Canis lupus familiaris: one gene and its partners. The protein of the gene in region 4 purifies or fractionates together with the protein of the main gene of each other region. This does not show direct contact. Links are inferred from orthologs where the notes say so. Each region holds a gene or a part of one and is shown on either strand. Other genes may lie near its edges. The genes, in order: METTL9, SLC30A6, CSGALNACT2 and SLC30A5.

What was found.
Region 1: the proteins of SLC30A5 (region 4) and METTL9 purify together in Homo sapiens (co-immunoprecipitation; 3 studies listed by BioGRID and IntAct, with this or other methods). This does not show direct contact. The link is inferred for Canis lupus familiaris from reciprocal best matches to the Homo sapiens genes SLC30A5 and METTL9.
Region 2: the proteins of SLC30A5 (region 4) and SLC30A6 purify together in Homo sapiens (co-immunoprecipitation; 5 studies listed by BioGRID and IntAct, with this or other methods). This does not show direct contact. The link is inferred for Canis lupus familiaris from reciprocal best matches to the Homo sapiens genes SLC30A5 and SLC30A6.
Region 3: the proteins of SLC30A5 (region 4) and CSGALNACT2 purify together in Homo sapiens (co-immunoprecipitation; 3 studies listed by BioGRID and IntAct, counting the BioPlex papers as one, with this or other methods). This does not show direct contact. The link is inferred for Canis lupus familiaris from reciprocal best matches to the Homo sapiens genes SLC30A5 and CSGALNACT2.

The regions. Positions count from the first base shown.
Region 1 is NC_049227.1:23,420,242-23,427,567, reverse strand, and holds the end of METTL9 (methyltransferase-like protein 9), read left to right. Parts: intron 1-3,093; coding exon of another isoform or gene 3,094-3,199; exon of another isoform or gene 3,200-3,250; intron 3,251-5,158; coding exon 5,159-5,364; 3' UTR 5,365-5,860; downstream 5,861-7,326. Other genes in the region: IGSF6 (immunoglobulin superfamily member 6), read right to left, coding at 3,094-3,199. UniProt on the Homo sapiens protein: Protein-histidine N-methyltransferase that specifically catalyzes 1-methylhistidine (pros-methylhistidine) methylation of target proteins.
Region 2 is NC_049238.1:25,481,990-25,490,060, forward strand, and holds the start of SLC30A6 (zinc transporter 6), read left to right. Parts: upstream 1-2,687; 5' UTR 2,688-2,808; coding exon 2,809-2,811; exon of another isoform or gene 2,812-3,236; coding exon of another isoform or gene 3,237-3,347; exon of another isoform or gene 3,348-3,349; intron 3,350-7,236; coding exon 7,237-7,323; intron 7,324-8,071. UniProt on the Homo sapiens protein: Has probably no intrinsic transporter activity but together with SLC30A5 forms a functional zinc ion:proton antiporter heterodimer, mediating zinc entry into the lumen of organelles along the secretory pathway.
Region 3 is NC_049249.1:4,092,337-4,100,353, reverse strand, and holds the start of CSGALNACT2 (chondroitin sulfate N-acetylgalactosaminyltransferase 2), read left to right. Parts: upstream 1-2,627; 5' UTR 2,628-2,707; exon of another isoform or gene 2,708-2,797; 5' UTR 2,798-3,085; intron 3,086-4,241; exon of another isoform or gene 4,242-4,910; intron 4,911-5,128; exon of another isoform or gene 5,129-5,325; intron 5,326-8,017. UniProt on the Homo sapiens protein: Transfers 1,4-N-acetylgalactosamine (GalNAc) from UDP-GalNAc to the non-reducing end of glucuronic acid (GlcUA). Required for addition of the first GalNAc to the core tetrasaccharide linker and for elongation of chondroitin chains.
Region 4 is NC_049223.1:53,460,724-53,468,049, reverse strand, and holds part of SLC30A5 (zinc transporter 5), read right to left. Parts: intron 7,108-7,326; coding exon 7,031-7,107; intron 6,730-7,030; coding exon 6,559-6,729; intron 5,637-6,558; coding exon 5,348-5,636; intron 5,177-5,347; coding exon 4,968-5,176; intron 4,412-4,967; coding exon 4,254-4,411; intron 3,645-4,253; coding exon 3,515-3,644; intron 1-3,514. UniProt on the Homo sapiens protein: Together with SLC30A6 forms a functional proton-coupled zinc ion antiporter mediating zinc entry into the lumen of organelles along the secretory pathway.

The DNA of each region.
Region 1 (7,326 bases), on a different chromosome or scaffold from region 4:
GAGACAGTATATGCAGCTCGTGGAGTTAGTGGATGGTTTAAGTGAGACCATCCGTGCATAAGGAATGTTTACTTGGCTAAGCCTTAATAAGAATTTAGTAAGAGGTAGCTATTTCTGCTGCTGCACCTGTCACCACTTCTCCTCTTCCCATGGTGTCAGCCGCCCATGTCAGGGATAATTGTGGGTGTCTCAGCAGGTGTTCGCAGGATCGGGACTAGACACCCAGTCTAGTGCTCTCTCTGCTGCGTGCTTCCTCCACTCTAGGCCAGCTAGGTCCCCACCTTGGCCTTCTTTCTGATCCCAGGCCTGTGCCACTCTGGTGTTTATAAATGGGAAGATCTGCCCTAAACCCTTTTAGGGGCAAGGGAGAGCCTATGTAAAATAATATTGGTTGAGACAGATTAGAATTTATGCTAGTTTTTAGTCTGACTTCTGCTGGTCATGTGTTCCAAATGGTCTTACTCGTCTGAGTTTGTCCTTAGCTGCTGTAAATGAAACTGAAAAGTAACCCAAGTGACCTGATGCTTGAGTTTCAGACAGGGGTTTTTGTTGTTGTTTTTGACTTAATGGTTTTCATAGTCTTCATCCAGAATGGAAGAGAAATTAAAATTAGAATCATGGCATGTGTGATGCAAATATATTCTCACCAATGTTTTAATTTTAGTATACGTACAATCTGAGATGTGCTGGACGTGTTTTAGTGACCTGGTAAATGTAGACCAGATGAGAGGGGAAGGTCACCTCACTTGTCTGCAGCTGAATAGGATAGCACTCACTCCTACGTCTGGTAAATATTGCCTCATGTCTACTCAGAGGCAGTCCCTTTAGAAGTATGAACTCTTTGCAAGTTATGATCAGTATATCATTATGTTGAAACCCATTTGGGGGTTTCAAATGGAGCTGGGCCCGCCAAGATCTAACAGTTAGCTGACAGCACCTCAGTCTGAAGTCCTCTTCAGATAGTCTTAAAAGGGAAGCTGATGTTTAAAATTTTGGAGAACTAAAGTGCCGGGGAAGAATAAATACTTGCAACTTTGGAGTTTCATGTTTCCCCTTATTTCCGACTTCTGCATGGTTAGTCTGAGTGTCGGAAAAGAGCCCTTGATGATTTCTTTTGAGAGTGCTGACTGGTGAGGAAACTGCTGCCCCTCCCCTGCACCAATGACAGCCTCTTTGCAAAAGGGAGAAGTGTGGATAATGGGTCACACCAAGCCTAGTCCTGTAAGAATTTCTCTTTAAGAATTCTCATCCTGGGACGCCTGGGTGGCTCAGTGGCTGAGTGTCTGCCTTTAGCTCAGGTCGTGATCCTGGGGTCCTGGGATTGAGTTCTGCATTGGGTTCCCTGCTCAGCAGGGAGCCTGCTTCTCCCTCTGCTTATGTCTCTATGAGCTCTCTCTCTCTCTCTCTCTGTTTCTCATGAATAAATAAATAAAATCTTCAGAAAATTTTTTGGAGATAACTCCAGACATAAAAAAAAATAGGAGATATGAGATAAGATATCTCATATCTTAGAGGATTCTTTTTTTTTTTCTTTTCTTTTTTTCCCTCCAATGTGGTACCCTCTGAAAAGGTTGAAAGTTTATCTTTTTGGTGGAGGAAATAACAAAAAAGATGACTTTAGGGGTGCCTGAGTGGCTCAATGGATTAAGCACCCGACTCTTGATTTGCTTTATCCCTCAGCACCTCCTGCTCCAAAATCACTTTACTGTGATCCAAGCTAGATCCAAGCTGGATAAATAGAAAACTGATTTTTGACACTTTTCTTGGAGAATTTCAAGCATACACAGAAGTATGGGTAGCTTGGTGAACTCCCTGCTGCTCCATGTCCCAGTCTTGTCTCTCCTCTCCCCCCATCTGTGAAGCATTCCCACATGATTTTAGGGTAAATCTCAGATATTCTCTTTTCACATCTGTCAGACTATATCTTTAAAAGATAAGGATTCTTCTTTAAAATAATACTAATGAAAATAGTTTATGAAAGTCATATAAACAGATGAGAAAAAAAAATCAGAATATTACTGAATTCACCCATGGTCCTCGTGCCCAAATAACCATTGTTAACATTTTGATATATTTCTTTGCAGATGAGAAAAAAATTATTTTAAGACCTTTTTCTACCTTCCCTGTCCTATGACCCAGACTTTGTGAACAAGTTTGAGATTATTAGCTTTATTACAGCTATGATGAGATAGATTATTAGAACCACTTTCTTTTTCTTTATTTTTTAAAATAATTTTCATTTCTTTATTCATGAGAGACAGAGAGAGAGGCAGAGACACAGGCAGAGAGAGAAGCAGGCTCCTCACAGGGAGCCTGACGCAGGACTTGATCCCCGGATCGGGATCACACCCAGAGCCAAAGGCAGATGCTCAACCACTGAGCCACCCAGGAATCCCCCCACTTTCTTTTTCATAGAGAAAAAAAATCAATATAAGCAGAATTTTAAAAGTATATCTATTATGGGATGGTTATGCTCTATAGAAGGAGCCATGGCAGCATTTCTTTTTTAATGACAAGTACTTTTTAATTTACAGAAATCTGGATTTTCAGAAACCTTGTTCTTTGAAAATATTCAGCAAGTATTGCATAGTGCCTATCAAGTGCAGTGTGAGTTTGCCTATATGGAAACGACATTGTTGATGACTAGCACATGCAATTTTAAGAACATTTTCAACCCTTTGTTTGGTGAGGTCCTCTTCTCTAAAGCAGCAAAGGGAATTTTCAAGGTTAATCTGAAACTTTTGGGCAGCCTGGGTGGCTCAGCGGTTTAGTGCCGCCTTCAGCCCAGGGTCTGATCCTGGAGACCCGGGATCGAGTCCCACATTGGGCTCCCTGCATGGCGCCTGCTTCTCTCTCTGCCTGTGTCTCTGCCTCTCTCTCTGTGTCTCTCATGAATAAATAAATGAAATCTTTTAAAAAAATCTGAAACTTTTTTTCAGCTATTCTTTTATTACTTATTTGTCTGGGGGAAGAAGACCATTTCTATAGTGTTAGACATTTCAAAATTAATCTGTAGGGGCTTAAAATATAAATGTATTAGGTGAGGAATAGCAATTGATTAGATAAAATGGAAGAGAAAAGAAAGAACCTTACCGACATAAAAGAGAATCAGATTGATTTCCAGGCCAAGAACGATCCTGCTTCCCTTCACAGTCTCCATTTCTTGGGGTGTGCGTGTGCGGTGGTGGGCAGTATGCATTTGAAGAGAGTGAGCTCTTTTTTTTCTGTCTCTTTAGAAAAGAAGAACTGAAGAGAGGAACTCTTATTAAGGAACCATAACCGGGAACTTTTTGAAATTGTGTAAAAGATTGTTTGTAACCCAGTTTCACCATTTAGAGTTGAGATTTTAGTATAGGGTACATTTCTAAATGTGCATATGGTAAATTGTTTCTTGAATTTGTAGACATTTTGAGGGAGATTTTGATTTACATGTAGTCTTTATTCCCAGGAGAGAGTATTGTTTGACAGATAAATTGTTCCTTTAAATTTCCAGAGTATTTTGGTCACTGATCCTGGGGTACCTACTGTGTGCTCAGTGCTGGGCCAGTCACACTGGAAGCAGAAGGAAGTGTTTTCATGTAGAGAGAAGAGAAAAATTAATGAACAATACATCGTGGTATAATGAAGAAATGCTATGTGACATTAACTAGCTGTACCTCAGATTTGTGTAACCCCTTTCTAATGTGTCTTTGAGACCAAGAGTGGGCCCTCTGTTGAAGTTCCCTCCTCCTCCCTCTCCTGCCCCACGGAGGCCTCATCAGTCGGGTTCTTCCTTGGAAGCAGCAGAAACAGACTCTGGCTGATTTCAGTGAAAGGAAATTGATTGAAAGGATTCAAGGGTAGCTCACACAGTCATGGGAGGATTGGAGAATCATGCGTAGGGTCTAGAGCCAAGAAAAACACCTCAGAAAAACATGCTGTAAAACTGATCTGAAAAGTGTACTCCTGCTGCCGAGCACTAGGGACCATGGCACAGACTGCACTCTATTGTTCATAACACTTGATGCTGCCCCAGCTGCTTAGTGTCATGGCCACTGCTCTGCCCTCCCAGAGAAGGAGCCTACGTCCCTCTTGTCTGGGTCACTAGGTCTTCAGTCTGTGTCCCAGGCGAGTGTTCTGAACTTAAGTCATGTGCCGGTGCCTTCACCATAGGAATAGAGGGGAAAGCTACTTCCCCAGGCTTTGACTGCCATAGGACTCTAGGAAGAGGGTTCAGGTGCCGGGTGTCTTTGTACTCTTGGCACATATCATGCATTTTCTCACAGAAAGTTACTCTCTGTCTGAATTTAGTAATATACTTAATATGTGTGCATTTTAAAAAACATCACAGTATATACAAACAACCTAGAATTGACATATACCATCATCTGTGTGTGTCTGTGTGTCTGTAGCCAATGCTTGGTGTGAACCTGAAGACTTTATCCAGCCACCCCATCCCCACTCCTTAAGCATCTGAATGCTCTCCTAGGCTTGCAAATGACCGGGACAGATTTCAGCCACTAGTCCAAGAAATGCCAGGCCGACACATCCGTTCTAGTGCGCGCTCTCTCTCTCTCTCTTTGGTTTTGGAGCTTAACTTGTATAAAAGTGTTATGAAAAGTTAGGGAGTAGCTCAACTTCACTTGAAAAACACATCGATGATCTGTCGTTATAAATTAAAAGCCTCATTAGTCTGTTTTCGGCCTGATAAATCTTTCTAGTTAATACATTGCATACATTTACTATATCTCGGGTGTATTTTCTTGCATTTATCCCTAACCTTTCTTTCACATTTTATGGGTAACTCTCTGCTTTCATATTCCTGTGTTTAATGAGGAGTTCACTAAAACCATGAACTATTACAACCCATTTGGTCTAATGAAGGGTAATATCTGAAACTGTCAAAGATGGTAAAACTATAAGTTTTGGATCCAGACAAACCTGGGAATGCATTTCTGCTCTTACCCTCACTAACCTTGTAGGCTTGGGTGAATCCTCAGCCCTCTGGGTCCATACTTCATTTCTGTCCTCTTACCTCGGGGATATGAGGAAGATGATTCATCAAAGTCCCCGGTGCTTGGCACATACCAAGTCCTTGGCAAATGTTGTTCTTCCTCCCTTCTCTCTTTAAGTAACTTGTTTGTTCAAGAATTTAACTTAATGTTTCTATTTGTTTTAGTAGGTGGCAAGTGGGAGAAACCATCAGAAATTTTAGAAATCAAGGGACAGAATTGGGAAGAACAAGTGAATAGTCTGCCTGAAGTTTTCAGAAAAGCTGGTTTTGTTATTGAAGCTTTCACCAGACTACCATACCTGTGTGAAGGTGACATGTATAATGACTACTACGTTCTGGATGATGCTGTCTTTGTTCTCAAACCAGTATAGACACGTGGAGGCCCAAGTCTTCAGAGCCCACCCCAAGAATGTACACTCCAGAAGAGGGTCTGCGTTTGCGGTTATGTGAAGGGAGGACCTTTGGGGACTGCCATTCTAAATATCATGTAGGAATTTAAAAAGCCAAAATACTAATTATTTCTTTGTAGTGTGTAAAAGGAATGTTTTTAAAAAACAAAACCCAACTCTTTGAGGATTTTTATCAACTCTTTACTCAGTAATACAGGTCACACTCCAAGTATGGAAGATATTTTTTATACTTAATTGCAGTAGGGACTCATCCCCAGTCAAAGCAATAGTCACGACTTCACATGGAACCAATAAATATGGATTGTTTTTAATAAAATGAAGACTGGCAATAAAGCTGTCCATTCAGTTGCAAATATTTGGTTACAAGGTATAGCCACTGATACTCTTTCATGTTTAGAAATTCTGTCATTATTCAAAAAATGTTTTTAATCATGCTAATAAACTTTTTTGGAGATGACTCTGGCATCATGTTTGAGTTAATATAAGGCTCCCCTAGGATCTTTTATTGCTTTGGCTTCAAGAGTGCCCACATAGTAGCATTAGGTGAAAAGTACAGTTGACTATGTGATAAAGGCTTCCGACTGGGTGAGGGGCTGGGGGATTATTGAAATTGTGGTGAACACTGAGGCAGTCTAGACTAACCCTTGAAAGAGCAACCTCATTCAGATCTAATACTTCAGGGACCATCTCCCACTCCCATTTTATGTTGCTTTGGGAAGTGCAAAACACTGGCTTCTGACTTTGTGATAGCTTCCACACTAGACTCAGAATTCTGTTTTTCTGGACAATCTCAGGTTCTCATAATTTTTTTTTATTCTTTTTTTTATTTATGATAGTCACACACACACACACACACACACAGAGGCAGAGACACAGGCAGAGGGAGAAGCAGGCTCCATGCACCGGGAGCCCGGCGTGGGATTCGATCCCGTGTCTCCAGGATCGCGCCCTGGGCCAAAGGCAGGCGCTAAACCGCTGCGCCACCCAGGGATCCCTCAGGTTCTCATAATTGAACCATTCCGTTGTGTCTGCTGATAAAACGCAGCCTAAAAATGTTTTAATTCCCCTTCTTACTCTACACATGTATACCTCTTTCCCAGAACCTGGTTCTTCCCGAAATCCTTAACTGAGTTTATTTGCCAAGAATATGGATTGATGAAGACCATGTTAGACTCCTACATTCTAGAATCCTTGAGTGCCTCCAACCATATACCCACAAATGTTGCAATAGAGGAACTCATTAGCAAGATCAATAACCATTGTGCATATTCCAAAGAGAGTAGAGCACTTAACCCAGAATCTAAAATCTCAATAATAACAGAGACACGGATTTAAAATCGTGGTTATTAACAATATGTTATTCTCATGACTTTATTTCTTTTTTCAGCCAGGTGTTTCATTAAGTATTCTCATTTATATGCTCATAGAAGTCATCAAGTCAACACATTTACTGCAACACCTGGGTATAAAGGAGAATTAAAGCCTTGAAAAGAGTTACTTTATTATTCATTAAGAACAGCATCCCCACATCCTCACACCAATATCTTCCACTGTTATGTGTTGTCATAAGAAGAGTTGGGTTATGTGATTTATGCAAAATTGTTATTGGTGCATTCTAGTGCTTTTTTTCCAGGGATTCAAATACTTAGCACCCTAGATTATAAAAATAGAGGAAATGAGTAAACTTAATGTAGTTCTTTCACAGCTGAGTTTGTTTCTTTATAAATTGTCATAATCTTGCTGTTTAGACTGTTGAACAAGAGTGCAAGAGTAATGGATGTTCAAAGAGGCAGTTGATGCAAAGTGTTTCATAATTTTGAAATCAAGAATGAATAGGATGGTCTGTTAAAAAAAAAAAAACACCAAAAATCTCTCTTCTTATCCCCCCCCCCAAAAAAAAACCCCCAGAAAATACATTCATTT
Region 2 (8,071 bases), on a different chromosome or scaffold from region 4:
ATGTTGTATCTTTTTAAGGTCTCAAACATTACAGCATCAATCATAAAATATTGATAATGAAAGATCATACAGTATACATGATGACAAGAATTGGGAATATCCAAAGTTAAAACATTTTCAGTAAAGCTCATAAAATTTCACTTTGTATTTTCATTTAGAAAAGGATTAACATTAATGAAACTTGAATAACTGGTCAGTCATATTAAGGGTCTGTGTGCTTCATGCTCAACTTTTAAAATATGATATTTAAAATCATTCTATCTGCAGTAATGTAGCTCACTTTTTATTGGCATAGTTTTTAGATAACAAAGATTTCAAATGTTAAAAAATAGAAAAGTCAAGCTAATATTCTCATAAACACTGAATCACAATTATATATTACTGTATGAATAACCATCCATACAGTATAGAAGTTCTTTTACTTTCCTGACCAAAGTCTGAAGTTGAGCTTAGTGATAGAGAAGTATTTTCTATGGCTTACTTTTTATTTTATTTTCACTTTAAGCTGTTTTTTTTTTTCTCCTCATAGAATAACCATGAAAATAAGGTAATGATATAATTGGAGGCAAAGGGATTCGTCTGTTTTTTTTTTTCTTTTTTTCAATAAAGATAGAAGTTGGCGAGGCTTTCTGAATATTAGACTTCGTTTGTGACCTTTTGGATTCTGTGTTGAACTGTCATATTAACTTCTTAAAAAGTAATGCTTAAACATTAAAAGTTAGTGTGCTCACTTTAATATGGCAGTGTTTTGTAAACTATATTAAAACTTACTTTGAGCCAAAGGAAAGAATCAGTACTATCTTTCCCAGATAATGGTAAAAGTTTATTCTAAGACAGTCTGCCCATTGAGGTTGTTAGGTTTCTGACCATGCTTTGTGCTTAGGAAGAAGTGAAGGAAAAGCAGATACGAGAATTCCAATTTAAGTAAATATACAGCAGTCTATTTATAGGGTAAAATTCTTTATATTTTGTACAGAAACTAATTCTTTTGGTAGAATGAACCATTTAGTTTGGCTTTGGACTCGAGTCAGAAAAAGAATTTCCTTGAAGTGCTTATCTCAAATTTTAATCTGGTCTTTTGTATTTTTTCTTCAGAAGAAAAAAAAATGAATTAAAGGGTTCAGCTGCATAAAGTGGATTTTTATCCTAATGGATTGGAAATAAATGGTAGATTTTATTTTGCCTTTAATTATTTTTATTTGAAACTTTTTGAGGTTTCAGAGGCTGCAGTCTAGCAGTGAAGGAGTAGCTTGTATTGGACTAACTCTTGCCCATAATAATTATAAAGTGAACAAAATATAAAAAGCAAAGATTAGAAGACTCTAGGGAGCAAGCAAAACCAGGCAGAAACTGCACAAAACCATGTCCTAGAAGAGATCCACATTAACTAGCTTTTACCCCAAGGGTAACTTCCAGTGTGTGCAAGGTGCTTAGAAAGAGACTTCAAGCAGAACCTAATAGTCTTTTTGGGCTAAAGAGTCACTTGGGGCTTGTAAAACAGCTGAAAATCAGGAAGGAAATCTTAAGCATTTCAGAGATAAAAGCCCCAGAATATGCCTACAGATTTCTTTCAAATCCTTGGTGAACTCCAAAATCGTATCCGTGCAGAGTAATATTCAAAGGAACCTAACAGAAAGCCATAGTTGGGGAGTCTAACGAGCTGTGGAGAGATGGAAGCTGCCAGGGGAATCGAGTTCGAGGTTTCAATCCCACTAAGAAGGGTCTGGCTAATGCATGCTAACCTCTCAGAACAGTGCCTACCATGGGAGTGCTTGGTTGGCAATTCCTGCCCAGCGACGACCCGTTCTCCAGCCACCGCGTAAAGCTCACCGCCTCCTTAAAACGCTCCGTGGGCTTCCCGTATCCCTTAGAAGGCAAAACAAAAACCGAACCAGCCTCCTTACCCCTAAATTAGAAATTCCTGCTCGGTCTGCCCATTTACCGTTTAGATCTCTTGGCTTCTTGCCCTCAAGCCCAAGGCTCCAGACACTGCCTTCTTTCGGACCCTCGGACACCTACTGCTTGTTTTATTTGGATGGTCTATCCCGCCTGGAATGATCTTCGCAAAAAGACTGGTCACTCAGAAGTCCCATTTCACTTCCTTAGAGCAGCTTTCTCGGACTACTATAAATCAGCGACCCAGTCACTCTATTGTCTACACGACACTCTCCATACTGTAAACACTTATTCCCCCTCCCTCCTTGTTTCGTCTCCCTGACTAGTGCCTGATGCACACACGCGCTGCGTATTCTACACAGAATCTTTTTATTTCCCGTGTTCTACAATATTAGTTCCCTAAAATTAATTTCACGAGAAATCAGCGCTTTGGGAAACAGAACACAGTACTGTCTACACTGGTCTGAGTTCCAATTCGGCTATTAACGGAGAACCGGATGTATACGCCTCTGGGCAAGTTTCTTATTCGGCCTGGTTCCTCAAACGGGAATACTATTTCACAAAGCACTGCAAAAAAAAATTCTACCCCACAAGTAAAAGCGCTTCAGCACTAAGTGAGATTTTTCCTAACGTTACAAAGAGAACCTAGGCGCTCCCTGAAGACTGGGTCTTCAGCTCCCTCGGCTCCACCTACGTACCCCGGAAGCGCCTGGGCGCGGCCGCTCTAGCTGCTGCCTTCGCCTCTATGGCACGCAGGGGTAGCCTGGGAGCGGGCGGAAACGAGAGTCGGCGCACGCACTTCCGCCCCCGGGTCTCTCTCGGCCAATCGGCTTCCGAGGCCCCACCCCTTCCGCTCTAGGAAAACCCCAGCTCCCAGAGCGTCTTCCGGCGGGAGCTGTGCGGCTCCTTATCATGGTGAGTTGGCTGGGGGTCTGAGGGTTTCTGTCGTAGATGATGCCTCTTATCTTCTCGCATCCCGAAGCGGCCTTGACATGCCTCAGCTGCCCAAAGGAGGGGTCCTCGGAGTCGTGCTCGGGCCCCCGCAAGAGAAGCGGCTGACGTCCGAAGCGTTCATTGCCCGCAGAGCTCCGAACCCCCCGCGATCCCTCGCCAGGTCCCTTAGGCGCTTGGCATCCCGGCTCTGCTCGCGGCCGAGCTTTCAGTTCTTAGCGTTTATCACTTTCCCGTGCCGAGATATATACTTGATACAGAAATTAAAGTCTTTGCCGGCGCCGGCGTCTGCACCAGCAAAAGCTCTGAAAACAAGTCCAACCAACGGCGACCGTAACTAGTGATGCTTACTTACATCAGTGACGATACCGTTGTTCATAAAGAGGGTTATGAGTGGGGTGTTGAGGTGGACGCCCCACTCTGCAACCTGGCTTAGTGGAGCGCCAGGGAGCCTGATACAGCAGCAACTTTCAGAAGGCCGGTGGTTGCAGAGAGTCCAGGTGTTGGTAGAGCGTCTTTATTGCACGTTTTTTCCCTGCGTTTGCAGATCCCACTATATACCTTACGGTTTCGGGGGAATGTGATTTTTTTTTAAAAGAGAAATTCGTCTTTTTTATGCTTTTACAAATCAAATATATATATCTCTGAATTTTATCGAAAGATAAGTTGATTGTAATCTTGACGTCAAAAAAGGTACACACCAAAAAAAAAAAAAAAAGGAACACACCGTTTTATCAGAAAAATTCTTGGATCTCTTGATAGCCTCCGTAGGAGAGAAGCACCACTTGTCAGTGCCTAAGCCATTGTCACTCTAGTACGTTTTTTCCTTGAGTGGAAATGGTCCCCCAAAAAGGTCTTATTTATACTTTCTTTTTCTATTGTAAATTTCCTGTAATCCCTCCTTTGCACACAGGAAGTTGGTAAAAGTTTACTGTCGGTGAGGCTGTCCAAATAGCCTTCGAGCTACTTTCTTCAAAATATTCACCACTGTGCAGCCAGAATTAAATTTCTGAAATTGGACTGTGTCACTCCCTGCTCACCCCCCCCCCCCCCCGCCCCTTGCTTCAATCCTTTCCCTGCCATAATCCTCAAGATAAAGTCTTATATGGTATGGCACACAAAAGCTATGTGTTGTCAAGCTGCTAATGCTGCTGTCTTGTGTGTGTGTGTGTGTGCGCGCAAACCTTCTTTATAGCCTCTTTTTTCACATACATACATTCATATTCCAGTCACAGTGAAGAGCTTGCAGATGATGCTCTAAGGATTAGGCCTTTGCACCTAACTTGTATATGCTATTCTATCTGCTGGATTCAATCGTCTCCTACCCCTCATCCTTATCAATATAACCCTTATATGTCCATTAGTCTCTTTCATGAGACTTTCTCCTATATCTCAAGATACTATTAGGTGCTTCTGTTGTGCTCCCATGGTAATTAGTGCTAATTACCAGTAACATCTGTAGCCCTTACCAGACTATGTTAAAATTGTGTATTTACTTGTCTTCCTCATTTCCTAGACTGTAAGCTCTTTGAGAGCAGGACCTCTGTATTCACGCTGGTGTTCCCAGACCCTTGTAACAGTTCCTGGCCCAGAGGAGGTTTTCAATAAATACCTGTCTTTAAAACACCAAATAAATAGCTATGGCACTAAATTTTTTTTTTAAACATTTTATTTATTTATGACAGATACAGAGAGAGAGAGAGAGAGGCAGAGACACAGGCAGAGGGAGAAGCAGGCTCCATGCACCGGGAGCCCGATGTGGGATTCGATCCTGGGTCTCCAGGATTGCGCCCTGGGCCAAAGGCAGGCGCCAAACCGCTGTGCCACCCAGGGATCCCTGGCACTAAATTTTTATGCTTGAAACCATAATGCAAAAAAAAAAAATAGTAGCATTTAAGGTTTATTTTAGAAGTTTTGGGGAAGAAAGGGTTTATGAGTCACCCATGTTTTGTTTATTAAGGTGTTACTGTGCAAAACACAAGCTATCTTAGAAAATGTAAAGAAAATATAGCCCTTGTCATTAGTGAAGTTGCTAAAAAATTAACTTAAAATGCAGGATGACAAGATGCAGGCTATCCTGGCTAATTTGCAAAGCAAGTAGGGTAAAGAACAGTATAGTTTGGAATAATCTAGGAAGGCTTCACATAGAAGATCAGCCATGAAACAGTACTTTACACTTTACTCCATTACTCTTAATCTGTTCATTACTCTCATTTGGAGGAGGAAACAGGTCAAGTAATTTGCTTAAGTATTACAGGATTGTTAGAGCTTGGTTGGACAAGTCTGGCCTTTTCACTCTTGAGTAGTATGATCATGAGACGAGGGGTACACCAGTTTAGTTGGAGTTGATTCCCTATCTGGAGCAAGAGATAAAACTGAAAAGAAACAAGCTAAATCACTTGAAAGCATTAGATTTCAGGTTGTAAAATTAAGAGTTTATCATGATAGCAGTGGGGGACCAATATAATTTTGGAAAGTGACATGAACTTTAGGATTTTTGTGGGGTTTTATTTTAACCAATATCAGAATGGCATCAGAAATGGCCCTCTACCTTTTAGAAAACACTGTCTTAACCCAAAACTTTAACAAATAAAGTGGGATGAAGTTAGAGGATACCCAGGGATAACAGTGTTGAGCAGAATTTGTGCTTGGGACCAAATATCCTACACATAATTCATTAAGAATAGGGTATTTTCATTAACATGACCATTAGCATCTCAAATGAAAATAGAATATTGTTCCTTTTCAGCTGAATTAGTTTAGCAAAGACTTAGAGTTACATATACACTAGTCTTTATTTGGATAACAAAATTAGTAACGCTTTTTTCTAATGCTTTATATTTTAAGTGTGTTTTACTTAAAAAAATTTTTATTGTGGAGATTTTCAAACACAGAAAAGTAGAATATAATATAATGAGCCCCCGTGTAGGCCCCTTGGCCTCAGTTAATCAACAATCTGGTTTTTAATGGTGATTTCTAGTGTTCAACTTAGTTTTCTGCCTTTTCTGAGTCTCAACCTAATGTAACTAATGACATGTCTGAGATTCGAAGAAATGGGATATACCTTTTTTTTTTTTTTTTTAATAACTACTGAGATGGTCCTAGTAGCTAACTAGGAAAATCATACCTGTGCTGGAGTTGGATCTGAAAGTTTCCCTCATTTTAAATCTGTTAATACTCAGTTCCACTGCTTTCTGTGAAATTTAAGTATTTAAGTCAAATTGGCCAACAATAGTGAGGTGGCAATGTAGTGTGGCTGTTATGGTGATTGTGGCCTTACTGTCAGGAAAGCATTTTGCTAAAATTAAAGTCCAAACAAGTAAGTGCATGGCGCTTAGCAAACAAATTATTATATATGACCCACTGAAAATTGTGAAAGATTTTTTTCCCCTAGAAACAATACTTTGCTTTTGGAATAACAATTGAAAATTTTTTTTCCCAGTTTATCTTTCCTCTCTAGGATTGTTTTTTTTTTTTTTTTTTTTTTGGGTATTATATTCCCAAGATAGTAAAATTGATCAATTTTTTTCCCTTTACAGCTTCTTGGTTTTATGTCCTGTTATGAAAAGTCTTCTCCATCTGCAAGATTATATAATTATACATCCATAAATTTCTTCAAATACTCTATAGTTTTATATTTTAGTTTTAACATGACAAAAAACTAGAATAAGAAATACAATGAGAATCTCAACTTGACCTTTTCCAAAACCATTTATTGGTAACTCATATTTTCTCCTCCTGATGTTGGATACTGCCTTAATCATAAGCTAATATCCTATGTGTGCTTAAACTCTCCTTTAATAAAAGCTAAAGTTTCCCGTACTTGAGTGGCAAATAACTCTCTAGTCTCCACTGTTTCTTCTCTTGGTGGTAACCCCACTGTTATGCCCTTTCTCTGCTGGTCCCGTACTGTGTACTAGCAAGGACTAAAGAGGCTATCCAGGATGTCAGATACTTTGCCTAAGAGAGAACCTCAGAGATTTTTCTAAAATAATAGTTTCCAAACTTTTCATATATAAAGCTTTGATTAGGTAAATTGAATTATTTTATTTCCAGTAGAGCTATCTGGCAAATGGCAAATGGTTTGCTTTTCTGGTTCAAAATTAACTATTCCATTTCAAAATAAAAGTGTGTAGTCTGGAGCTAAAATCCCTGGGTTTGAATTTCTGCTTAGCCATTTGTTAGCCCTTGGACAATTTACTAAAAATCACTTCTATTTCATAGATGATTATGAGAATTAAATGGATAAATACTTGTCAAGTGTCTAGAATAATTCCTTGCCACATACTGAGTGTTCAGTATATGTTAGTTGTTACCATCATATCCCATTACAGGATATGAAAAAGATTAGATGCTTCAATGCTGATTTGTTTATTTTTTATCTTAAAGGGGACAATTCATCTCTTTAGAAAACCGCAAAGATCTTTTTTTGGCAAGTTATTACAGGAATTTAGACTTGTAGCAGCTGACCGAAGGGTAAGTTATCTTTATTAATTCTAATTTTAATCATTGCACAGACAACATTATGACATTGAAAAAGATAATTTTTAAGGCATGTAGAAATTACTCGTGATCCCACCACACACTTTTTGTTTTTGTTTGTTTTTTTAAAAAATATTTATTTATTCATTCATGATAGACAGAGAGAGAGAGAGGCAGAGATACAGGCAGAGGGAGAAGCAGGCTCCATGCCGGGAGCCCGATGTGGGACTTGATCCCGGGACTCCAGGATTACGCCCTGGGCCAAAGGCAGGCACCAAACCACTGAGCCACCCAGGGATCCCCACACTTTTTGTTTTTAAGTAAACTCTACACCCAACATTGGGCTAGAACTCATGACCCCTAACATCAAGAGTTGCATGTTCCACCAACTGAGCCACCCAGGCACCCCCTACCACACTGTTTTCATTTTTTTATGTTAAATAAGCAATTTTATTTATTTATTTATGTATGTATGTATGTAATCTCCGCTCAGTGTGGGGCTTGAACTCACTATGCCAGCATCAAAAATATCTTATATATTCTACTGACTGGGTAAGCCAGGCATTCCTGGCTAAGCAAAATTACAGTACTTTGATACACAGTTGTTTTGCTTGGGAGGAAGCTAGGCTTCAGTTAAGTTTTTTATATAATTCTAATGAGTTTTAAAGAAAAATTATTTTGCCTTTTATTACTTTTTTTTTTTACAAATTTAATCGATGCAATTTAAAGCCATATTTTTTCA
Region 3 (8,017 bases), on a different chromosome or scaffold from region 4:
TTGCTGACAGCTGAGACTTGGCTGCTGTGAATCCCACTGCTGCCAGCCTTCATGCACCACATGTCCAGCGCCAGAAAGCAGTGGCTCGTCTCATACATTAGGAGTAGTGGGTGGGGTTAGTGCTCAGCTTAAAAAGGACAGTTCAGCTAGTTATGTTAGAAGTAACATTGACAATGACCAAGGACTGCTACCCTCTGATTACAGTTCTGATGTGGAAAAGACAATGTTTTGGCTCTCATAGAGCTTGTGTGAAAAGGTACGTGTATCCACTCTTTCTGTCTTTGTAAGTTAATGCTGCTATAGTGAGACATTCCTGTTTATTAGATTCTGACCATGACTCATAAGCTTCTTGACATTCTTCACTGCTTGTTTGTGGTCACAGACACTCAGTACTCCTCCCATCTGTGGGGGTGGCTTTCGGGAAGTCCCCAGCTGCTCTTCTGACTGTAACTTCTAGGGAGAGGGTCAGTTCCCAACACGCTGCCTGGCCTTCAGACTTAAAGCACTGTAAAGGACTGACAGTGTCTCATCCAAACGCTGTATCTCATAGGCGTTTCACAAAAGCAGTAAAATTAGGGCATTTTTGTAGCTTGGATGAGTATGTAGCAGAGCCTCATAGTATGTGTGTGTATGCGTGTGCACACAAACCCGCAGAGAGCTGGAAAAACACGCTGTAACGTGGCTTTAGTTTAGGCCACTTTTCAGACACACTGTGATAAGTTCTTTTACAAATAATCTAGTTGTGGTAAACTTTTGGTTTTCAGATGTGGTTAATGACAGTCTTATTAAATGCAGAAAAAAGGATAAACTCTTCAAATTGTTAAAAGATACCTACTCAACAGGTGCGAGTTGCCACAGTGGGTTTGTTCCTGGCAGGGTGAAAGCTCCAGGTCTTAACCCTTGACCAGTTATCTAATGTCTATTCCTGAGTTTTAAAAGCACTCATACTTACTGGTCCTAGCAGACTATTTTCATATGCATATACACTGAAGTTACCAAGTATTAAGTATTACTGAGCATTAAGTAGCAATCTGTCAGTTATTAAAATTTGTAAAATCTATTTATGAAAGGTTACTAAACCATACCATTGTTAATTTGCTTTTGTAACAAGGTGACTAAGGAAATAATTTCAATTATGTGAATAAAATCATCTATCGTAAAATGTGTAAACTTCTTTTCTCTTTTTAACTTCCCAGTTGGAAACATCAGGTTTCTGATTTTGAAGTTTCAATGTGTAAGGATTGAAATACCACAAGGAGATCTGTCATGGTAACCCCTGGGGAAGTGACAGTGCTCAAAGAACTAGGAGGTGCTTGGTCATTGACTTATCTTGAACAATATGTAGGTGACTAGGCACATTATGGGAACTGTTAAAGTGCAGCTAGTTCCACCATTCTTTCCTTTGTGTTTCTTTCCCTGAAAGAGAGCAACAGCCACATCGAGTTCAGGTGTTTGCGGTTCTCTAGCAAATGGGGCTGATTTCTTAAAGCTGCCATTAGACAGATGTGCAAGAAGGGATGCAAAATGCATAGCCATAACTGAAAGTCTGGTACAGTCAGTGATAAACTTTTGCCCTGAACTACCATAAGCTTAAAAGACCAAGTCTTTCTGCTGGGTTATGCATGCATTCTCTGAACTCCTCCTCAAATGCCTGGCAGGGAGCAGATAGGTCAGTTGGCAAACACAAGTTGTTACCAATATAAATCTGATTTCTGAGTGTGTCGTGAAATGCCAAAAGCCTATGTCATTACACACGTGCACACACACACACACACACACACACACACACATACCTGGACAGACTGCCCCTGGCCCTCGGAGCTCTGGCTTCTGGCCTCAGCACCCATGTCCACTCTTGACGTCCCCCTTCAATCTGAATCACAGGGGCTGGAAGTAAACGTAATTTCTAGGGTGAGCGATATGTTACAGTCTTTTCCTCTGACCGTTTAGAAACCCATGCTGAGAAAAGCTAATACTAAAATACTAAAAGCCCCCTTTTTCAAGAGCATTGAACTTCCATTAGTAGTGTTTGTATGTTTGGTTTATTTGTCTTAAAAAGCACATTTCTCCACCAATTTCCACAAATGATGCTTTTCTACCATAAGGGCAGCTTATTTTAAGAGTGGAAATTTAGTTGAATATAATGCCTGAGAATGGGGCTTGGACAAATACTTTATATGTAATAGAAAATTCAAAGGGAAAGCATAATCTTCCCCAGTATAAATAAAGCATCATTTCCCCCAGTGAATGGTTTCCTCTCCTCCCTTGGGCATATTCATGTATAAGATATTTAGCAGGTGGCATTTAGGGTGGTTCTAGATGATGCCTGAGAAATCCCTAACTCTGTGGCTCTGGAAAGACATGGTGGTCTGAAGGGCATGCGTAGTGGTGGAGGAGCTTCCTCATCCCTTCAGCATGAAGATATTCACAGACCTTATCCTCTGCTCTTGTCCTTGTGCAGAAAACAGTCTGCCTGTTCTGTTCTCTCATCTCTTCTCCACAGGCAGCAACCTTGATGGCCTTGTTAGAACTCTAGGGATTCACAGGAACTGTTCTTAGCTGACATCACAAAAAATCAGAACCTCTATGTAGAGAATTTTTCAATTTGGAGCACCTATCCATTCTGCAGCCAAGGCTGGATGGGGCGGGGGGGGGGGGGGGCAGTGTAACAGCAGCAAGAGTGAGCATCACACCCAGAGTCAAAGAGGTATGCACTATCAATGCCCAAAAGAAATCATGGTTAATCTTTGCAACTCAGGTTTTGATGGCTATGTCAAGTAATGAGATAATTTTGCAGATGTTTTGTGGGATGTGCTAAATCACAGGACCTGGCCAACCGACATCTCTCAATGTGAGCCTGGCCCAGAGTTGTGACAGGGAAGCCATCTACAGGAACTTGGTGACTGCAGAAACATCAGTGTCACAAGGAACTGGGCCAGGCAGCATGGAAGGAGTCACAACCCAAGACCACTCCAACCCAACCACCATGACTTCAGGAGTTCTGTTCCACACCGGGAGGCACCATAACCCTGCATCCATTCAGAGGACACAGCAATTCAAGTTCAAAGTTAGCATGAGAAGCAAGGTAAGTACATTCCAAAACTAAAAAACAAAACAAAACACAAAAGTAACTTTTTGAGAAGGAAATCATTTTGATATTTCATAAACATAATATTTACCATGAAAATGATCAATTTCATGAATAAAAATGTGAAGTTCATTTTAAGTGTCCCCGTTTCTTTTAATCTTGGTCAGTTTTGTAAACAGTACCAGAATAAACCATATGTTTTTTGGCTGCTCTTGTCTCTCACCTCCATGCCAGTCCTTTTCTGCACATGTCATTTCCCCTGTGGAGTAAAGTCATTCCTATGGTTTGGGAAGGGTCTAGACTGGAAGAAGGAAGAACGCAAGGCTGCCTCTTACTCCCTGAGGCAAGGGACTTTGCCCAGAGGACTGTAGGGAGCCCACATGGTGCCTGTGTCACAGCCCCTGTCCTCAGATGCTTCTTTCACCAAGGGCCTATGACATGCTTCACATGTTGTGCCTCCTGGGAGCTTTATTTTTTATTTATTTATTTATTTATTTATTTATTTATTTATTTATTTATTTATTTATTTTAAAGATTTATTTATTTATTTTAGACACACACAGAGAGAGAGAGGCAGAGGGAGAAGCAGGCTTCATGCCAGGAGCCTGACGTGGGACTCAATCCCGGGACTCCAGGATCACGCCCTGGGCCAAAGGCAGGCGCCAAACCGCTGAGCCACCCAGGGATCCCCATCCTGGGAGCTTTAAAGAGGAAATTTCCCTGGAGGGTCTGTGGCCACAGGGCCTGGCAGGTCAGGTGCATGCCAAGGGTTTGGGGGACTTCCTAATGTGTGGAAAGAAAAGATTATCAGATTTTTAAGAAAAGGAGTGATACAGAGGATGGAAGGATTCTGGTCTTTCATGAGATAGTCATTGAAGTAAAAGAAGTATTGTGTGGGGGACTTGGGTGACTCAGTGGTTGAGCATCCACCTTTGGCTCAGGTCATGATTCCGGGGTTCTGGGATAAAGTCCCACATCAGGCTCCCCTTGGGGAGCCTGCTTCTCCCTCTGCCTCTCTCTCTCTCTGTGTCTCTCATGAATAAATAAAATATTTTTTTAAAAAAAGCATTGTGGTAGAAAATTGTATTTTTTTCAGAGGACCCCAATTATCTATAATCTTAAGTTTCATGGAAATAAGTAAAGACCATCCAAATGAGAACAAGCAGAGGTTATTTATTCTGAACTTGCTATAGTAAGAGAGTCAACCACCATCAGTTGGTTTTGACAGAAACTCGAACGCAGGCAGAGGAGGGAAAAGCTTTACAGTAAAAAAGGGGGTGAGGGAGAGAGGCTTCAGGCACGTTGTGCTTGGAAGTTGTTGGCAGGGGGAAGCGGAAGGTAGGCTACCTAGAAGTCGGGCATCTTATGAGATTTGCTTTGGGAACATATTTGGCTCTCTCTGATTGGTTCTGATTTGGAAATAGCAAAAGTGGGGAACGTGGCAGTCATAGACCAAGCCCCGACCATTCTGGGCCAGTTCCTACAGAGGTATGGGTCAGGGCTTCTCAGTTTACATGTGGTCTGGTCATTGTATGTCTGCATATTGTCTCTCAGTCTTCCTTTCTGATCATTTTCTTGCTTGTGAGAAGTTGGTGAATTTAGGGAAGTCTAGAAATCCAGATCTTAAAAAAAAAAAAAAAAAAAGAAATCCAGATCTTCACCACTTTGAGATTGATTGTTCAGTCCTCTACAAGGCCAACTGTATCATGAAGTCTTTTCAGCCTTTCTGTTGTATCACCATGAGGATCATCTGATGAGGAAAGTAGCTGTGCAGAAGCATTTCAGACCCTGGATAGAATGCAGTGGACCAGTATTACTACCCCTATGACATAAATAAGAATGAGAACAATTAATAACCCCTGTCAGATGCTTTGAACCCAGAATCCTAACCCAGGCCCAAGAATAAATTCCATACAGGTCCTGAGGGTCAGTTTTACAGAGCAAGTAGCTTTTACCCGTAAGGCACTGTAGAGCCTGCCCCACCTTCCCTGTGTCACTGATCCAAGGACAGTATTAGGATTGGCACACACCATGACTTACCCACATGAAATTTAGAACAATGCAGCTGTCCCTTTACAGCTTCTCCAGTGTCAATTTAAGGTAGTAATCAATTTGTGCTCCATGAATAGTTTCAGGGAGAAAATTTAGTTGTTTGGCATCATGATCTGCAGAGCGTTGCCTTTAGCTTCAATATTGTTGTCTCTTTTTGCATGGTTCTCGACCTTCATAGTAGTCACCTTTGTAGTAAATAGAATGCATCTAAAAGTTGCTTAACTTGTCCATTTTTGTGGGGGTTCTAGCATCCCAAAGTTGTGTGGCACCCCAAAAACATATTTCCTGTCTATATTATATGTTTACCCTCTAGTCTTTGGCTAGTTAACAAGCTGTAGTAAATGCAACACCTTCTGCCATTTTGACTGATTTTACCTCAGGAGAGGACTAAATTCTAAAGGAGACCTTCAATTAATGATAGTACATGCTGCTTGATATCTTCCAGCTTCGAGAATGATCCATCAGCAAACAGGATTAGTTCAGGGTTCTCAATATGAGACTATAATACATGTGAGTAAGGTACAGAGAGTTCCCAAATTATCTGAGGTAAAATGATCACTAGGCTCCCCTTCTTCTGCTAAGAGAAGCAGAATGTCTGGATTCAGGGTATTGTAGCAGTAAGTAGTACCTGAGAGGGAGAGAGTAATAGAATTTCATAAGATGTTAAGCAGCTGGCTGAGAAGTGCTGTTTCCAGTCAATAGTAATGTCTCTACTTCAGGAAGGATCATGAGGTCAAGCGAGGAGCCTGGAACTAGCTCGGCAGAAGCATCCACAAATTTTGCAGCAGAACACCTGCCCTAACACTAGGGGCATATAGCATGTCAAGGGAAGGCTAGGTAGTAAGTGATGGGTTTTGGATGGTTCCCGTGAAACTCCAAGGTCTTGTCCAGATTGCTCATGCACAAATAGACAGAAGGGCCTTCTGTTGTTTCAGATGTCTAGGGAAAGAGGTCACTGAGGAGCCACCTTCAGGTTCCAGAAAGCCTGTTCATTTTGGGGCTCCCAGAGGAGAGAATCTCTTACTAAGAACTTAGTTCATAAAGAGGTATAAAAATCACAGAAAAATTTAGCAACAATGGGGCTGAAAAATCTAGTGGAACCTTTAAATCCTGGGATCCCTGGATACCTCAGCAGTTGAGCATCTGCCTTTGGCTCAGGGCATGATCCCAGGGTCCAGAATTGAGTCCCACATTGGGTTCCCTGCGAGGAGCCTGCTTCATCTTCTGCCTATGTTTCTGCTTCTCTCTCTCTCTCTCTCTCTTTCTCTCTCTCTCTCTCTCCCTCTGTGTGTCTTTCATGAATAAATAAAATCCTTAAAAATAAATAAATAAACCTTTAAATCCTCTCAGATGTGATTTTGTGAAGGAGCTACCATAGATTTGAGTAGGTTTTAGTCTATCAGAAGAGAATGTTTTCTGCTTCTAGTTGAACCACATCCTAAATAATAGACTGTATTTTGGCAAAATGGCAATTTGTCTTTTGAAATATTATGACCTTCTTCTAAGGCTGAGAATAAGTAAATGGAATCCTTTTTTCTCTGAGTAGAGTAGGAGATCATCTACATATGGTGTCCTAACAATCACAAGGGAAATTTAGATAACTTAAATTAGATAATTTAATTTTTTTTCATTTTTCCTTTTCATTTAATTAAAATTAGATCATTTAGATCTTGATTAACAACTTGAGAAAAATAGTAGGATACTTCGGTGAACCCTTGGGGCATGACCATCCTGAAGGACAGTTATCTTCCCCAGGTGAAGGTAAGAAAGGTACTGTCGTCATTCAAACACATATTCAAAAGACAAATAGTATGTGAGTCCATTCATATGAGTTACATAGAGCAGTCAAATTCATAGAGGCAGAAAGTAGAATGTTGGTTGCCAGGGGCCAGGAGAAGGTAAAGTGGGGAGTTAGTATTTATGGGGGAAGAGTTTCAATGTGGGATGAGGAAAAAGTTCTGGAGCTGGATAGTGGCGATGGCTATGTAGAACAATGTAAATGTACTTCATACCACTGAACTGTATACTTAATGGTTAAAATTGTAGGGTTTATGTTGTGGAAATTTGCTATTAATATGTACAAAAAGTTATTGACTGTCCTGTTCTAGAAGCACATTGAAAAAAGCGAGCAAAGATTCACTACAGCCAGTGTCTTCAGCAAGTGGCTCACAGGATGGTATATGGGCCAGAGAATGGGGAATAACAATTTTGTGAATGGCCCTGAGGCCATTCTTTACTGCCAGGATGGGCATATTACAAGGGTAGGGTACAAGAAGATCTTTGGATATAAGACTTCAACTATAGATTTAATCCCTTCCTTTGCTTTTGGTTTCAAGGGATATTGGAGAAGTTTGGGTAATGGTTTGGTAGGTTCTCTCTAAACTTTAATAGATTCTACTCCAATTATTCTTATTCCATTACAGTAGAATTTTTAGCCCAGAAAGTGTCAGGTATATTTGATACACACCCCCAGGTAAGAAAATTATCTGGGGGTGTGTATCAAATATAATGGAGAATCCAGAGCAGAATCAGCTTGCTTCTGAGTAAAGGGATCCTATGGAATCTCACAAATAGTCCCAAGTACTCTGGCGTGCATTTAGTATTGCAAAGTAAGTTTCTCCCTGTTACCTTTGAAGAGACAATGTCACAGAGCAGGAAGGAATGTTTTGCAATCAACGGCTCAAGGCTCATAGTTATGGTCTGGGAAATAGAGAAAATTGTGGGTTATTTAAAATGCTCACCATCTGCCATATGTTTACTCCTAGGAAAAGACTGAGCAAAAGTGGCAGGGTTTAATGCAGAAAGAGTAGCACCTGAATCTATCAGAAATTGGTGAGGTTGCCATCTACAGTGGGTAGAATTGGCCCCCAAAAGATA
Region 4 (7,326 bases):
AGAGGAATTTGGACTTCTTTAATCAAGTGATTAAAAATATGCACTTGGGGGATCCCTGGGTGGCGCAACGGTTTGGCGTCTGCCTTTGGCCCAGGGCGCGATCCTGGAGACCCGGGATCGAATCCCACGTCGGGCTCCCGGTACATGGAGCCTGCCTGTGTCTCTGCCTCTCTCTCTCTCTCTCTCTCTGCCTCTCATGAATAAATAAAATCTTTAAAAAAAAAAAAAAAATGCACTTGGTTCATAGTTTGTGAATAAGTAAGTTAATGCTAGAGTTTTCTTCTGTTTATTTTTTTCTTCTGTTTATTTTTTCAAATATTTTATTTATTTTTTTAAACAATGCTTGTTATTATTTTTTTAAATTTTTATTTATTTATGATAGTCACACACACACACACACACAGAGAAGCAGAGACATAGGCAGAGGGAGAAGCAGGCTCCATGCATCGGGAGCCTGACGTGGGATTCGATCCCGGGTCTCCAGGATCGCGCCCTGGGCCAAAGGCAGGTGCCAAACCGCTGCACCACCCAGGGATCCCCTATTTTATTTATTTCACCAGAGACGCAGAGACCAGGCAGAGGGAGAAGCAGGCTCCACGCAGGGAGCCCAATGCGGAACTCGATCCTGAGACTCAAGGATCACGCCATGAGCTAAAGGCAAAGGCTCACCCAGGCGTCCCTCTTTTGTTTATTTAAATAGAATTTTTAAGTATTGCTTAGTAGACCAAGTATGCACTGTAACTGAAATCTCATTTATATTACCAGATAAATTTCTGTTTGTAAGACAATGACTATAATTTACTAACTAGTCAATTCCAAATACTTACCTTATTGTTTGTTAAATATAGTAAAATTTCCCAAAGGAAAAAGAAAGTATAATGGAAAAACAAACATGTAATAGTAATCTTTCACTTTTTAAAATTATTTATTTTTAAAAAAAGATTTTACTTATTTGTGAGAGAGATGGGGGGTGGGGAGTAGAGGGAGAAGCAGACTCCATGCAGGGAGCCCGACGTGGGACTCGATCCCAGGTCCCTGGGCTGAAGGCAGCGCTAAACCTCTGAGCCATCCGGGCTGCCCTCACTTTTTTTTTTTTTTAAAACATTTTATTTATTCATGAGAGACACAGAGAAAGGCAGACACACAGGCAGAGGGAGAAGAAGGCTCCCTGTGGGGAGCCCAATGTGGGACTCAATTCCAGGACCCCGGGATCACGCCCTGAGCTGAAGGCAGACGCTCAACTGCTAAGCCACCCAGGGGTCCCTCACCTTTATTTTTTAGTGAACGGCATTATCTTGATTTAATAATGCCACAATAACATCTTGAAGGATAAACAAAGTTACTTACTCTTAATTATCCTCTCTTATAAAATGATTTTGGATAGTTGGTTCAGGGTGTTACTTAATTTACAAACATTACAATTTCTCCTTTAGAGAAACCCATTTGATTTATAAAAAGAATATATAAAAATAATGGGGACAGATAATTCTAATTAATTTCCAAAGATGTAAAACAAGAGATTTACCCTTCTTACTGAGGTTCAGAACATTTGTCTGTCAGAGTTTAAAATTTTAGTTTTTTATGTTTTTAAAGATTTTATTTATTTATTCATGAGAGACACAGAGGGAGAGAGGCAGAGACACAGGCAGAGGGAGAAGCAGGCTGCACACAGGGAGCAGGATGTGGGACTTGATCCTGGGACTCTAGGATCACGACCTGGGCTGAAGGCAGGCGCTTAAACCACCCAGGGATCCCTTTAGTTAGCTTTATGAACTTGAAGATGGTTAATGAATTTTGAATTAAATCAAATACTGCATAGAGGCCCCATCATCTCAAATATTTCTCCTCTAAACAAATACTTCATGTAGATAGTGCCAAGTCCCCTGTAATCCAACCCCCAAGAATTAGTCACTTAAACAATGGCGTATTTTCTATGCAAATACTAAACTACATATATAAAAACCTTTTAAAACACATCACATTATAGTATTGCTTTGGAATTTTTAAAAACTACAGTTCTTAAGTACTTTTTATGCCAGTATATATAGATAAGCTCCATTCTTTTTATTGGTTGCATGGTATTCTATGAATGACAGATTTAACTAGTCTTTTCTTTAGGACATTTTTTTCACCATAATGAACAGTGACACAATGAATCATGCACCTTTATGCATCTGTGCAAATATATATTTTTTGGCAAGTATTTTTGTAATAAATATTAAAGGTCAAGGATGTAAGCATTTAAAATTCAAAATAAATTTCTAAACTATAATCTAAAGCATTTTACTGATAACATGCTTCCACCAACCAGATTCCTAATTACTTGTAATTATTCAACAATTAATTGCTGATTTCCTACTATAAGCCAGATGCTAGAATTTGAGTTAATGATAGACAATTTAGGTCGTGAAGAGATCACTTACATCTTTAACTGTAGAAGAATGACAGAGGAGTTATACCTCAATGTTACTTAAAAAAAAAAAAAGAGAAAAAGCAAGACACAAGGGAAATAGTATGAAAGGGAAATCTTCCAAACTCTGGAGAGGGAAGAAAGGGATTAATGGAAAGTATCTCACTAGCAGAGACATATCGGCAAAGTCCTGATGAAGGCTGAAAGGCAGGTGTGAGGGAAAGGCAGGCCAACTACAAGAAATAGCACATGCAAAGGTTTGGAAATACAGGGAAAACATTACAGACTGCTATAGCAGAAATACAATCTACAGGGTAATTATCATTAAAATGATAATATTTTTATGATTCTATCTTTAACATTTTGTAAATTTCCTCAGGTATTTAAAAAGCACATCTTCACACAAAAACATTTATTTATTATTTTTAAAAGATTTTATTCATCTATTTGAGAGAGAGTGTGTGTGCACAAGCAAGAGAGCACAATCAAGGGGAGCAGAAGAGGGAGAGGGAGCAGGAGACTCCCCGCTGAGCAGGGAGCTCTGACATGGGGGCTGGAACTCAGGACCCTGAGACCATGACCTAAGCTGAATGCTGCTTAACTGACTGAGCCACCCAGGTGTCCCACACAAAAGCATTTGAGGGATCCCTGGGTGGCGCAGCGGTTTGGCGCCTGCCTTTGGCCCAGGGCGCGATCCTGGAGACCCGGGATCGAATCCCACATCGGGCTCCCGGTGCATGGAGCCTGCTTCTCCCTCTGCCTGTGTCTCTGCCTCTCTCTCTCTCTGTGACTATCATGAATAAATAAATAAAATCTTTAAAAAAAAAAAAACAAAAAAAAAAACAAAAAAAAAAAACAAAAGCATCTGATAAGTCAGAAAGAAATCCGTATGGTTTAGATCGTCATCTAACTGTCTTACTACGAAAATATTAGAGAAAAGGATTAATTTCTAAGAGCAGTATAAATGTAAATATAAGATGTTAATTTACATTAAAAAATAAAATAAAACCTTCCTAGATCAATAACTATAGAGAGTTAAACTTTAGCATGGAAAAGGCGATAGGGGATATGAAGAGAAATTCAAACAGGAAAATAAGGACTTACTGTTAACATGTGTGTGTCTAATTCCGGAGGATCAATTAATCTAGCCACTGACTCCACAAACACGAAAAAAGCTATTACCATTAGAAAAAGTCCATTAATAAATCCAGAGAGAATTTCTATTCGGCCATACCTAAAAATGTAGAATATATTTTTAGAAAAAAAAATGACAAATATTTTAAAAGTATAAATATTATGTTACATAAGAGTATACTAAGTTCAGATTTTTCAACTACGTACATAAATACGATCAGAAGATAACCAAGATCCTAAACACTACACTAATGCTGCAAGAGTCTTTCTGTACTTAAATTTGTTGCAATTTAAAATATTTATCAAAGTCCTACATAAACCCTTTCCTAATTTCTTAACAAGAAGTTCCTTCTCTTTAAGCCCTTGATGAGCTTTTGATCTCTGTCACAGCCCACAGATTCTGCTTTACATCAAAATTATTTGTATTTTTGGCTTACTGGTCTTTCAAAATATTAACAGTTGAAAAGAACTAAGTTTATAAATCTATTTAGGGTAGGTCTTATCAAAATTCTGTGTACAAATCAAAGATTCTAATATCTGTTAAACTGATTATTCAGTTAATGAAAGGATATTTCATGCATAGCCACCTTAAAATAAAGTTCTAAAAAATTATTTGTAATAAAAGTAATAAAATTTTATTCCCTAAGATGGAATCTGTCCTTAGGATTTTTTCATTGTGTTATATCACTTTGATGGTCGGTGTCCCTACCCATAGGAGAAAATCCGAGTTGCTTTCCATCTACTCATCAGGGCTGCAAAAAGTCCCATGACCAAAGCAGAGCAGTCAAAGAGCATGTGAAATCCATCTGAGATCAGACCCAGACTATTGGTCAACACGCCATAGAATAATTCCACAAAGGTAAAAAGCTAAAATAAATTTAAAGAAAAACAGGGGAGGAATGTGTTAGGAAATATCATTTCAAGAGATTTATCAGGACTTAATCATGAGAATTTTAACTATTATGCAAACCTTACTTGAAGATTAAGTGACACTTAATTTCATTTCATATATACTGCAAGCTATTAAGCTCAATCAAATATGTTCATCTTACAAATTCTTTAAAAGGAGATAGTTTCATTTATATGTCTGTAGAACTCAATAAACTAGGATATAAAATGTTAGCAATCCATCCAGTCTATAGTGAGATCCTATGAGAAGCAGATAAAGATTTTATAGGCTACTATATTTACTGATTTGAAATAGCACACTAAACTAATGCATCTAAAATGCCTCAAAAATTGTTTGCTAAGTAAACATTTTTTTAATAGGTTGAATATAATCCTGAAATCTTCCCATCGCTGAGAGAAAATGTAATTTTAGCCCCTCTCTATCAGAAATTTGGGAATCACTAAAATTATACCAGAACTGTCAAAATTAAAAGTTTAAGCTGTTAAGATGTCACTAATATATAAAAAATCTTACCAGATTCAAACACAAGAAGTAAAAGATCTGCCTAGAGTCATTCTCCTCAAGAATTTGTTTTAGTGATTCCTTAATAAACCTAGGGATCGATTGGGAACTATGCTGGAAAGCATCACCCATGAAGTTATAAAGAGGTGTTCCTTCAGGAGAATATCCAATTAGGGTACCTTTCTGTCCTCTCTTGGAAGGAGATGATAAGATGTTGGCAGCTTTTAAAAAAGGGAAAAAAACAACAAAGTTACAAAAGTTTTATAAGCTTAACCTACCAAAACCAACACAGTATCTGTCAGCACTAAACACAAGCACTGAAGAAATTCCCAAATTAAATAATTTCAACATCAAAATGCATGAGATTAAATTTCCTAAGGAAAAATGCTCACACAAAATGAAGAATATAGCGCTCACTACCACTCCTCCAGACAGGACATGTTCAGTGCTTTCCTGGTGTGCTGCTTTGTTCATAGCTCGAAGCTGGTCTGTTATTGGATGTGTCCAAAAATTTCCAAAAAGTAGAGCACTAATAAAAATGGGAAAAGATCCATAGCGGGCACATTTGGAAACTTCCATTTTGACAGAACAAATAGAATCAACATAGAAATCCAGGATCATGACAAAAAAGATAACTGTTGTGAAAGGCATAATGAGAGAAAACCAAGACTCGACTTTACTCTAGAAATTAAAAAAAAGAAAAAAAAATAGTTAGTAGTGCACAGGAATAAAGTTCACATCTTACATTTTAGTTAATCCCTTTATAGATAAACAAATGTTCTAATTCAATGATTCATAAGATGCCAAAACATAAGAGCTGTAGGATATTAGTGCATTTCCCGGTTATCCCCAAAGTATTAAAAAATAAAAGTACTATGATTTAATAATTATATAAATACCAGATGACCCACAATCCTTGTCTGTAACACATGGTATATATTAAATGGTTTTCTTAGGGGCGCCTGGGAGGCTCACTTGGTTACCGTCTGACTCTTAATTTTGGCTCAGGCCATGACCTTAAGGTGTGAGATGGGAGCCTTGCATCAGGCTCAGCATGGAGTACGCTTGTCCCTTTCCCTCTGCTCTTCACCCTGCTTGCTCATTCTCTCTAAAATAAATAAAATCTAAGTAAAAAAAAAAAAAAAAAAAACTAAATAAATCAATTTCTTTCTTTCTTTTTTTTTTTTTTAAGATTTTATTTATTTATTCCTGAGAGAGAGAGAGACAGGCAGAGACACAGGCAGGCAGAGGGAGAAGCAGGCTCCATGCAGGGAAGCCCAATGTGGGACTCGATCCCGGGTCTCCAGGATCACACCCCAGGCCGAAGGTGGTGCTAAACCACTGGGCCACCGGGGCTGCCCATAAATCAAGAGTTTCTTGAACAGATTTCTTTGGGCCACAGGAATGGAAATATAAATGTAATAGTACTTGATTTGTTTTCTAAACAATAAAATTTACTTCCCAAATTTTTCAACAATTACAAAAAATGCCAAGATAATTTAAGATACTTGCAAGCTTAAAGTGAAGTATAATACAATGTAGTTAACTAAAATTTTTAAGTAACAGCAATTCATTTTACTTATTACCGATAAATTCCTCTTACCTCAGTTGTCACAGAAAGAACAATGACCCATGGACACAAGAGAAGCACAGAAATAAGATGGGATAAAGCTTGAAGACGTTTGGCTCCACCAACATCTATAGAGAGTTTTCTGGAAGCTGTATGAAAACCAACTTTACAACACAAAGCCAGTACTAGCAACAACACTCCACCCTATGAGTAAAATGAGAGAAGTTTCATTAGAAACACACAGTCCAATATGCGATCCTTAAATACATAATATTTGGAGAAAATGGAGCTATTATGTTTCTTCCATATCCCAAATTACTAAACCACTTAAGTATCACGCAGTTCTGTAAATTACTGGTAACTTATTTTATTTTTTTAATATATAGTTTTTTATTGGAGTTCGATTTGCGAACTTAAGAGAACTTTTAAAGTTATAGTTGCTACTCTTTTTTTTTTTTTTTTTTTGCTACTCTTGATCATTCTAGGAACAAAGAAAAGAACATACCTTGTGATCCGCCACACCTAAGAAGGCAATGGCTGTGTAAAGCATGTGAGTTAGAGCACTGTCATGATGTCCTTCAGCTAAGTGAGTTGCAATAAAGGAAAAAAAAATCCCAAATATTAACTCTTTGAATCCTTAAGTTCTCCTAAAATTTTAGCTACATTATTATAGGCTAGTTTGGGGGTCCCAAACCTGTTTACTTGAGGTTGCCCTTAAATTTATTATTTATTGTCCTTAAAAACAAAACAATTAAAAATTTAATTCTGGGACATGATTTATAAATTAGAATGGCCTGTATT